Arabidopsis thaliana: one gene and its partner. The protein of the gene in region 1 interacts with the protein of each later gene in a pairwise test. Each region holds a gene or a part of one and is shown in the gene's direction. Other genes may lie near its edges.

Region 1 (4,627 bases):
GTACTGTGAATCAATTTGATGGTTTGGTTAATCAAAATGTCTTTCCTAGGGTTACACACATCTAAATATGTCACCAATCACTATTCATAATAGAGCTCGAAATCAATGAGTTTGAGGAAGTATACAAATCTTTAGAGAAAACTACACCAAACCAGAAAACGAAACTAAATCCGATCGTAAACGGTAAGAAAGTCACAATACGAAGTATGTTACACTGATTCTACTATAACGAGGCACCCATTACCAAGATTCGAATGCTACATTCGGTTTCAATGTTTGACAACAAAGAAAAACATACCACACAATTACAAATTCAAAAGCCAAGTAATCAGAAAAAAGTGCTTTTACTCAGCGCCAGATTTGTTAACTCCGATCCCAGTACACAAGAACATTTAGGTCGTCCTCAAAGGCGGTGACACCAATATCACTCCATCTCCTCTCACGAATAGAAACGGTACCGTTCGCTTCGTTGTCTGACAGAAGCAAGTTACATCAGCAGGAGAAGAACATATGATTCTACACTAGTCTAATGAGAAGTTAGCACATCACATTTGGAGCGCAAACAACAAAATTCAAGTTTGAGAAACTAAACAGAGTTACTATATTGGTAATGAACACTCTCTATGTAACCAGCACTATTAACTTCTACATGAATCAAGCTCTCCTTTAAACTCAAACAGAGACATAGACAATAGATACTGTGATAGCTGAAATATTTTGAACCCAAAAACGTTTATCTTACTACTAAAGCCTACATAGATTAATAAATCTTATTGAGCTAAGAGAATTACATACCCGAACAATCTCTTCATATGTCTCGTCGTCGATTTCTATAGTCGTAATAACCTCTTCAACATCACCCAGAATCATATTCAAATGCTGATCAAAAGCCTACACCACAAAAACAACAACAAAAGTGAGAGTCTTAGAATTTAACAAGATTATGAGGTTTTCTACGCCAATTAGCTCTCGCTGAGGCTTTCGAAACTGAAACTCAACAAAATGGGTCCAAATTTTGATATTTGTGAAAAGAATAAAAACTAGTGTTAAATTCAACGAATAAGGAATTCAAAAAGGAGCTCAAAATCGAAAAAGATCACATCTGGTTACTGGTTTCTGGAATCCGAGTGGTTAAGAACGTACGTGAAGCTTGCCGCGGAGTTCACGGTCAGATCGGAGCTTGACATAGATCCTCTCTTCGATACTCAACCGAATCAGATCGAGTGGCTCTCTAACGGTGGCGTCTTCCTCGACTGACATTTTCTGATTATAACTTCTCCGAGGGTTTTGAAATTGTAGTGCTCTCGGCGATATCTCTCTGACTGAGCTCAAGCAATCGCCACCGTTGGTTCCCTAAAAACTTCAAACCAACATCTTACGATTCGGCCTTTTACTATGTTTTTGGGCTCTCATATCGGCCCAATATGGTTAGCTCTTTTTTTTTTTTTCGTCGAAGTATTATGAAGATAATAAATCATCTAATGCAAATAAATCATGGTTAGTGGAACTTAACTATATTAAGTCCAATCACAAGGTATCAATTGGTCATTTCATTACACTAAATTTACTATAATCTTTATATTGGTTGTTTTAATCAAAAAGCCTTTTGTCATATACAGAGAGAGAAGAGAAACCTGAGGAAGCTGACCGGAGAAGACGAAAGCAAACTTTTTTCTGTGAGTTTTACTTCCTTTGACTCATCTCTCATATATTTACCGCTTTATTTTCTTCATCCCGATTCCTCTCTGCTTCATTCTCTCCTAAAGTTTCGATCTTTAATATTCCCCTAAGATCCAGTACTAATTTTGTTGACAAAGGTTTTGACTTTTTGAGATCTGTTTTCTCTTCGATTTCTCTGATGAATTAGGAAGAAATTTGATCCAAAAATGGATGGGAATTTTCCACAAGGAGGTGTAGTTCGTAGTGGAGCTTCATCTTATGGAGGATTTGATTTACAAGGTTCTATGAGAGTTCATCACCAAGACTCCATGAATCAGCAGCATCGACACAATCCTAATTCTAGACCACTTCATGAAGGTCTTCCCTTTACTATGGTTACAGGTCAAACCTGTGATCATCATCAGAATCAGAACATGTCTATGTCTGAGCAACAGAAAGCTGAAAGAGAGAAGAATTCAGTGAGTGATGATGATGAACCAAGTTTCACAGAGGAAGGTGGTGATGGTGTTCATAATGAAGCTAATAGATCAACTAAAGGATCTCCATGGCAACGAGTGAAATGGACTGATAAGATGGTGAAGTTGTTGATTACTGCTGTTTCTTATATAGGAGATGATTCGAGTATAGATAGTAGTAGTAGAAGAAAGTTTGCTGTTTTGCAGAAGAAAGGGAAGTGGAAATCTGTTTCTAAAGTTATGGCTGAGAGAGGTTATCATGTTTCGCCGCAGCAATGTGAGGATAAGTTCAATGATTTGAATAAACGGTATAAGAAGCTTAATGATATGCTTGGTAGAGGAACATCTTGTCAAGTTGTTGAGAATCCTGCGCTTTTGGATTCGATTGGTTACTTGAATGATAAAGAGAAGGATGATGTTAGGAAGATTATGAGTTCTAAACATCTTTTTTATGAAGAGATGTGTTCGTATCATAATGGGAATAGGTTGCATTTGCCTCATGACCTTGCTTTGCAGCGTTCGTTACAGTTGGCGCTTAGAAGCAGAGATGATCATGATAATGATGATTCTAGGAAACATCAAATGGAGGATCTTGATGATGAGGATCATGATGGTGATGGTGATGAACATGATGAGTATGAGGAGCAACATTATGCGTATGGAGATTGTAGGGTAAATCATTATGGAGGTGGTGGTGGTCCTTTGAAGAAGATAAGACCAAGCCTTAGCCATGAAGATGGAGATCATCCGAGTCATGTGAATTCTCTGGAGTGTAATAAAGTCTCTTTACCTCAAATACCGTTTTCTCAAGCTGATGTGAATCAAGGTGGGGCGGAGAGTGGAAGAGCAGGTTCGGTGCAGAAGCAGTGGATGGAGTCGCGGACTCTCCAGCTAGAAGAGCAGAAGCTTCAGATCCAAGTTGAATTGCTGGAATTGGAGAAACAGAGATTCAGGTGGCAGAGGTTTAGCAAGAAAAGGGATCAAGAACTCGAGAGAATGAGAATGGAGAATGAAAGGATGAAACTTGAGAATGATCGGATGGGATTGGAGTTGAAACAAAGGGAATTGGGTGTTGAATTATAACGGAATTGGCTTCACTTCTCTTGATTGGTATATAGCTTTGCTAAATGAAGTCTCATTTTCTGCTTTTGTAAGCTTGCTTTGATTGGAATGATCTCGAGACTTTGATGTGAGAGATCTTTGTGGTTGCATCAGTGATGAAGTTTGTGAATGTAGTGAGAAAGGAGTGGTTAATATAAGCAGCTCTCTAAGGTTTGTTTTAACTCTACTTCTCAGTACTCAACTGGTTAAGGTTATTTTCATTGTTCTGCTGTATTGTTTTCGACATCTTAATCCAATGTGTAACAAATATCTCATTGTTAAGCCAGTTTGAGAATGAGTTGTTGCTAACTATTTGCTTCTAAGAAGATTGAATACTTTTCGACATGGAACCTTAATACATATTTTCTATTGGACGTGGATCCAGATAACCTTTAGCAGTTTATACTTTGGATCACATCACATCTCCTTTAGTGGAAAATGAATCAGTTTGACGATATTGAGTTTTCCTGAAGAATCTTGAAGCTATATTCTAAAGGTTTCTTTCAGTTTGCAGTCACATGTTCTTCTTTTGTCTCTTTCAACATAAATGTAAAGATGTTTCTGACTAAAAAGCATGTTATGTTTGCCTGCTTTAGGTCCATCTCATGCTTGCGCTTCTTTTCAGTTTTTGTGTTTCATTTTTTGGCTGGTTAGTGATGAGAAGCTTCTTTCCTTTCTGTTTTTTTCAAATTAGAGTTTTCTGGATACTTATTAGTTACTAACAAAGAGAGGGCTTCTTCGATATTAACTTTTAAGTATCCAGAAAACTCTAAATTTGAAACAAACTCATATTTTTTGGTCTGCAGGTTATGTGTAAACGTCTTTGACTCGCTGCTTCATACACCTGTGCAATTAAAACCTTGAAAATTTTAATTTCCTAGCATGGAGAATATAAGAAGTCAATCAAGGCGTAGCATGAAAATTTTCATTTCCTGAGGTTGGAGCCGGAACCACAAGGGAAGGAACTCTAGTATCTGCCTTGGTGTTTATGCTTTGTTGCTTCAATACGCAAAAATGCACCAGAAGAAGAACTCTTTACACCGAGTATGTGATCCCCATTCACGCTGATAGCATATCAAGTCATGAGCAGCTGCAGTGCTGGAGACGTGTAACAATTGCATTGGTCAACAACTTACACCTGTTTGTAGCGAACCAACCACAAATCCAGCTTAGCTGGATAAGTCTGACCCTGCCAAGGTAGGAATTCTGTATCCACTCTCTGCATTTCAAGCTTTCACTATCTCTTTGAGCGGCTCCCACACCAAACTGACTTGCAAACTAAAGTAAACCTCAAAATAAAACAGAGCGTGTTATGGTTAGTAATCAAGTCTCTTCCAGAGGTGGTTTAAGTTTAACTATCATATACATTAAAAAAAAAAAAAAAAACAGTT
Region 2 (4,458 bases), on another chromosome or scaffold:
TTTTTTTTTTTCTCATAAGTGTAATATTTTATTCATTTTATCATTACCAGTACAATGCTTGGTTATGAGAAAACCAAAATAAAGCCCAAGACATCCCACATATAAAGGCTCATACGACACAAAAGAAGAGATAAGCTATAGACGTGTCAGACCAATAATAATAAGCTAGGGACACGTGGAACGTCCACAACCTTCACTAGTCCTGGACAAAATATTCGTTCGATCCGCTTTAACTCAATATTCGATTTGATTTGATTCGAAAAATCCGAATATTCGTAAGATTTTGGAGCAAAGCAAATAGAAAAATGTAGTAATCGTAAAAACCGAAGCAAATAACAAATACTATTTTTTCTAAAGTCGGATATTCGCTTCGATCTATATATATATATATATATATATATCACAATATAGGTTGTGCATTTGTATATGTTGGGATTTGGGCTTGTATTTGTATCCTTTGGGCCTGTGTTTTTTTTGTGACACAGTTTTTATTAGAGAAGTGGAATTTTTTAAAATAAAATTGTTTTATTTTTTATATTTTATCCTAAAATTGTCGTTTTACTTTCCAATCCATCAAATATAAGAGCGACATTTCTGTTTCCTTTCTTCGACCTTTCACTATTTTTATCACTCAATTTGGTTACAGAATTTATAACCAGAAAATTTTCAGTTGCTCTCAATCTCACACTCGTAAGTCATAAGGTAAGAAATTTGAAATCTATGTTAAATAATTTATATAAAAAAATATTTGGATGTAGCAAAGCAAAGCGGATATCCGACAAATATCATACAAAAATCCGGATATTCGTATTTTCGGATATTTGGAAATTTTCGGATCAAAGCAAATAATAAAATTAAGTATTCGATTAAAACGAATCGAATAACAAATATCCCAAATTTTCCGGATATTCGCTTCGTGCCCAGGCCTAACCTCCACTGCACATGAGACTCAAGCCTGGTGAATCAGAAACGTCGTTGGAAAATCACCGGTCAACGAGACTTCTTTTTTATCACCAATTAAAAGTTACAGAACAAACATCAATCTCCTAATCTCATCCGATTGCAAGAATCACAAAGGATTCGGCAAAAATGGGTAAAAGAAATTAGAGAAAACTGAGTAGTTCAAACTTGTCTAACAATTAAATCTCTTGCAAGAACAACAAAGGCATATCTTAATTGCATAGGAAACGAGCTTTGACCTAACCTTAGTCGTGGAGAAATTGAAACTGTCTTAAACACAGTAGATCCAAACGAACCTAATTGTCGAGAACGCACACATCGCCGGAAAACTGTTGGAGCCAAAAAAAACAGAACCCAACGGTGAAGCCAATCAAAGCAGAAAGAAACTAAATCATGCGAAGAGAACACCTCTTCGGAACTGAAGATTCTGCCTGTCATAATGTTTCATCATCAAGATTTTAAAGCTACAAAACAAAAACAAATCCGAAGAAACCGAATTCAAAATTGCCCAAAAAGAAATCTAAATCCCGATCAACGGGAGATAATAGCCGGAAAAAATCCAGATAACGGAAACCGGAAGAAACCCGGACGGCGATTCTAAACTTACATCGGAAAAATCTTTCTCTGAAAAATACTATAGAGAGAAGAGAGAGACCTTCCTCCTTTTAGATCTTTCTTTAATTAAAAATTTAATTTTTATATTTTTAGCATCTAATCAGCCTCAAAAATATAAAATATCTTAGATTTTTCTCGAATAATAATAACGAATATATATATAATTCGAGCTCCACTTGCTCCAAATTTAAAATCATTGACGCTGAGGAGTGTCAAAACGCTTGACAAATGATCACACGTGTAAGCCTATGAGTGGTGGTCGATTTGACTGATGCACTATCAACACATACCTAAAGATATAGAGAGAGAAACGCATATCGTTGACTCTCCCCCTTTTTCACTCTCTTCATTTATTCTTCCCCTCATCATCATCATCATCTTCTTCTTTAACCAAAAACACAACTTACAAGAAAACTGTTGAATCTTTGTATTTATTTACATCTCCTTTGACCTTTAATAAGAATCTGAGTGGTTGGTCTCTGATTTGATGAGATGACTGTTGAGCTGATGATGAGCAGCTACAGCGGCGGCGGAGGAGGAGGTGATGGTTTTCCTGCAATCGCCGCGGCGGCGAAAATGGAAGATACCGCTTTGAGAGAAGCTGCTTCTGCAGGGATTCACGGTGTGGAGGAGTTTCTTAAACTGATCGGTCAAAGTCAACAACCAACGGAGAAGAGTCAGACGGAGATAACCGCGGTGACTGACGTCGCCGTTAACAGCTTCAAGAAGGTCATTTCTCTACTCGGTAGATCTAGAACCGGACACGCTAGATTCAGACGAGCTCCCGCGTCAACGCAAACGCCGTTTAAGCAAACGCCGGTGGTTGAGGAGGAGGTGGAGGTGGAGGAGAAGAAGCCAGAAACAAGCTCCGTGTTAACAAAACAGAAAACAGAGCAATATCACGGTGGTGGATCTGCGTTTAGAGTTTATTGTCCAACACCAATTCATCGTCGTCCTCCTCTATCACACAATAACAACAACAATCAGAATCAAACAAAGAACGGTTCGTCTTCTTCATCTCCTCCGATGCTCGCAAACGGAGCACCGTCAACGATAAACTTTGCGCCGTCACCACCAGTCTCAGCGACGAACTCATTCATGTCTTCTCATAGATGTGACACCGATAGTACTCACATGTCATCAGGATTCGAGTTCACTAACCCATCTCAGCTCTCTGGTTCGAGAGGTAAACCTCCTTTATCATCAGCTTCGTTGAAGAGAAGATGTAATTCATCTCCCTCAAGCCGTTGCCATTGCTCCAAGAAAAGGTTTTGATTCAACTTCTATTATTAAAAATTAATCTTATTTTAGATCTAAATCTTGAGATTTGATTAATAAAACGTTAATTATAATTTGTGTAAAAAAATCAGGAAATCAAGAGTAAAAAGAGTGATTAGAGTTCCAGCAGTAAGTAGCAAAATGGCTGATATACCATCAGATGAGTTTTCATGGAGAAAATATGGTCAAAAACCAATCAAAGGCTCTCCTCATCCTCGGTAATTATTTTTTACATTTTTTACCATCGATATATATACTCTACACATACATCACAATCACTCACTAGATTCAACACCAAAAATCAAATATTGGCTAGAAAATTAAGCAACTTGTGTATTGTCAATATTAGTACCAGAGAGATTGTCAATATTGTTTTTTTCTATATCGGTTGTACCAAACATGTTGTCTAGTAGTACAGTAGTGGGTTCAGTTTCACGCTCTTTTTGACTTGTTGTTTCCTATAGAATAAATTTGAAATAGAAAGCCGAGAGTTAAGTTGACTATTTCTTTTCTCATTAATTAATAAGAACTCGAACTAACTGGGGAGGACTCGGTGTAATGGTTATGACAGGGGATATTACAAGTGCAGCAGTGTAAGAGGTTGTCCGGCGCGTAAGCATGTGGAGCGTGCACTAGATGATGCGATGATGCTAATCGTGACGTACGAAGGAGACCACAACCATGCTTTGGTTCTCGAGACGACGACGATGAATCATGACAAAACTCTTTAGTTTCTCGAGTTTGAGGGGAACTGTCTGTGTGTGACCACTATCCAGATTAGTCAACGACAGAGTGGGCCCGCACTGCACTTTTTTATTCTTTTCTTTTTGAAAAGCTTTTGCTTTATCTTTCTTTTTGATTGGAGGAAATAGAGGGAGGGGAGATAAAGACGAGAGAGGAACGTTGTGGATCTTGATGGAAGTTGAATCATGTGAATGTCCTTTTCTGTTTATTTATTTCTAGGATAATATATATTTAGTGCACTATTTTTGTCAAATCTCTGATTCTTTTCTTACTTGCAGAACTATTTGAGTTTTTAGGGAAATTATCAGTTAATTTAGATTCAACTGACCATAATGCTATGCTGGTAATTGGAAAAAATTGCAATTCAAATTTCGTTAAACAAAAAAAAAAAGAACTATTTGTAGATTACATAGTCAAATCAACTTAACACACGTTTATAGAAACTAGAAAAGTTGTCGATCAAATAATAAGTAGCTCTAATAAGTATTTATTTCAGCATTAGTGAAAAACCTCAGATGCAATGTCGTTATCCTTTTAAGTGTGTTTTTTCCAACAAAGTTGACAATGTTTATGATTATGTTAACGGCTATAAATTCAAGTGTAAAGTACTTCAACATTTAGTAAAAAATTTAAAGCTTTACTACAAAATTTTGTTACCAAGAAAATCAGCTATTCATGCATCATTGCGTTATAACTCTTCAATATCACTTTTAAGTGATGTTTTAGAGACTTTTTTTAAAAAGATGTTTTAAAATTTTTTAGACCAATCATATTTTAGAGTATGTTATCTAATTAGTTAAAATTTGTTTAATTGTATTATATGTAAAAGAGGTAGGATTAAAGTGATACACAAATTATGTG

The links. Proteins that work in one complex are often made in the same cells at the same time.
Region 2: the proteins of AT1G21200 (region 1) and WRKY7 interact in a two-hybrid assay, tested with the Arabidopsis thaliana proteins (one large-scale study listed by BioGRID).

What each region holds. Positions count from the first base shown.
Region 1 is NC_003070.9:7,419,597-7,424,223, forward strand, and holds AT1G21200 (sequence-specific DNA binding transcription factor), read left to right. Parts: upstream 1-1,551; 5' UTR 1,552-1,676; intron 1,677-1,867; 5' UTR 1,868-1,886; coding exon 1,887-3,218; 3' UTR 3,219-3,407; exon of another isoform or gene 3,408-3,800; intron 3,801-3,921; exon of another isoform or gene 3,922-4,015; intron 4,016-4,042; 3' UTR 4,043-4,077; downstream 4,078-4,627. Other genes in the region: LSM3A (Small nuclear ribonucleoprotein family protein), read right to left, coding at 393-473, 796-891, 1,144-1,260.
Region 2 is NC_003075.7:12,569,863-12,574,320, forward strand, and holds WRKY7 (WRKY DNA-binding protein 7), read left to right. Parts: upstream 1-1,675; 5' UTR 1,676-2,067; coding exon 2,068-2,843; intron 2,844-2,945; coding exon 2,946-3,071; coding exon of another isoform or gene 3,072-3,075; exon of another isoform or gene 3,076-3,424; coding exon 3,425-3,584; 3' UTR 3,585-3,911; downstream 3,912-4,458. UniProt on the Arabidopsis thaliana protein: Transcription factor. Interacts specifically with the W box (5'-(T)TGAC[CT]-3'), a frequently occurring elicitor-responsive cis-acting element.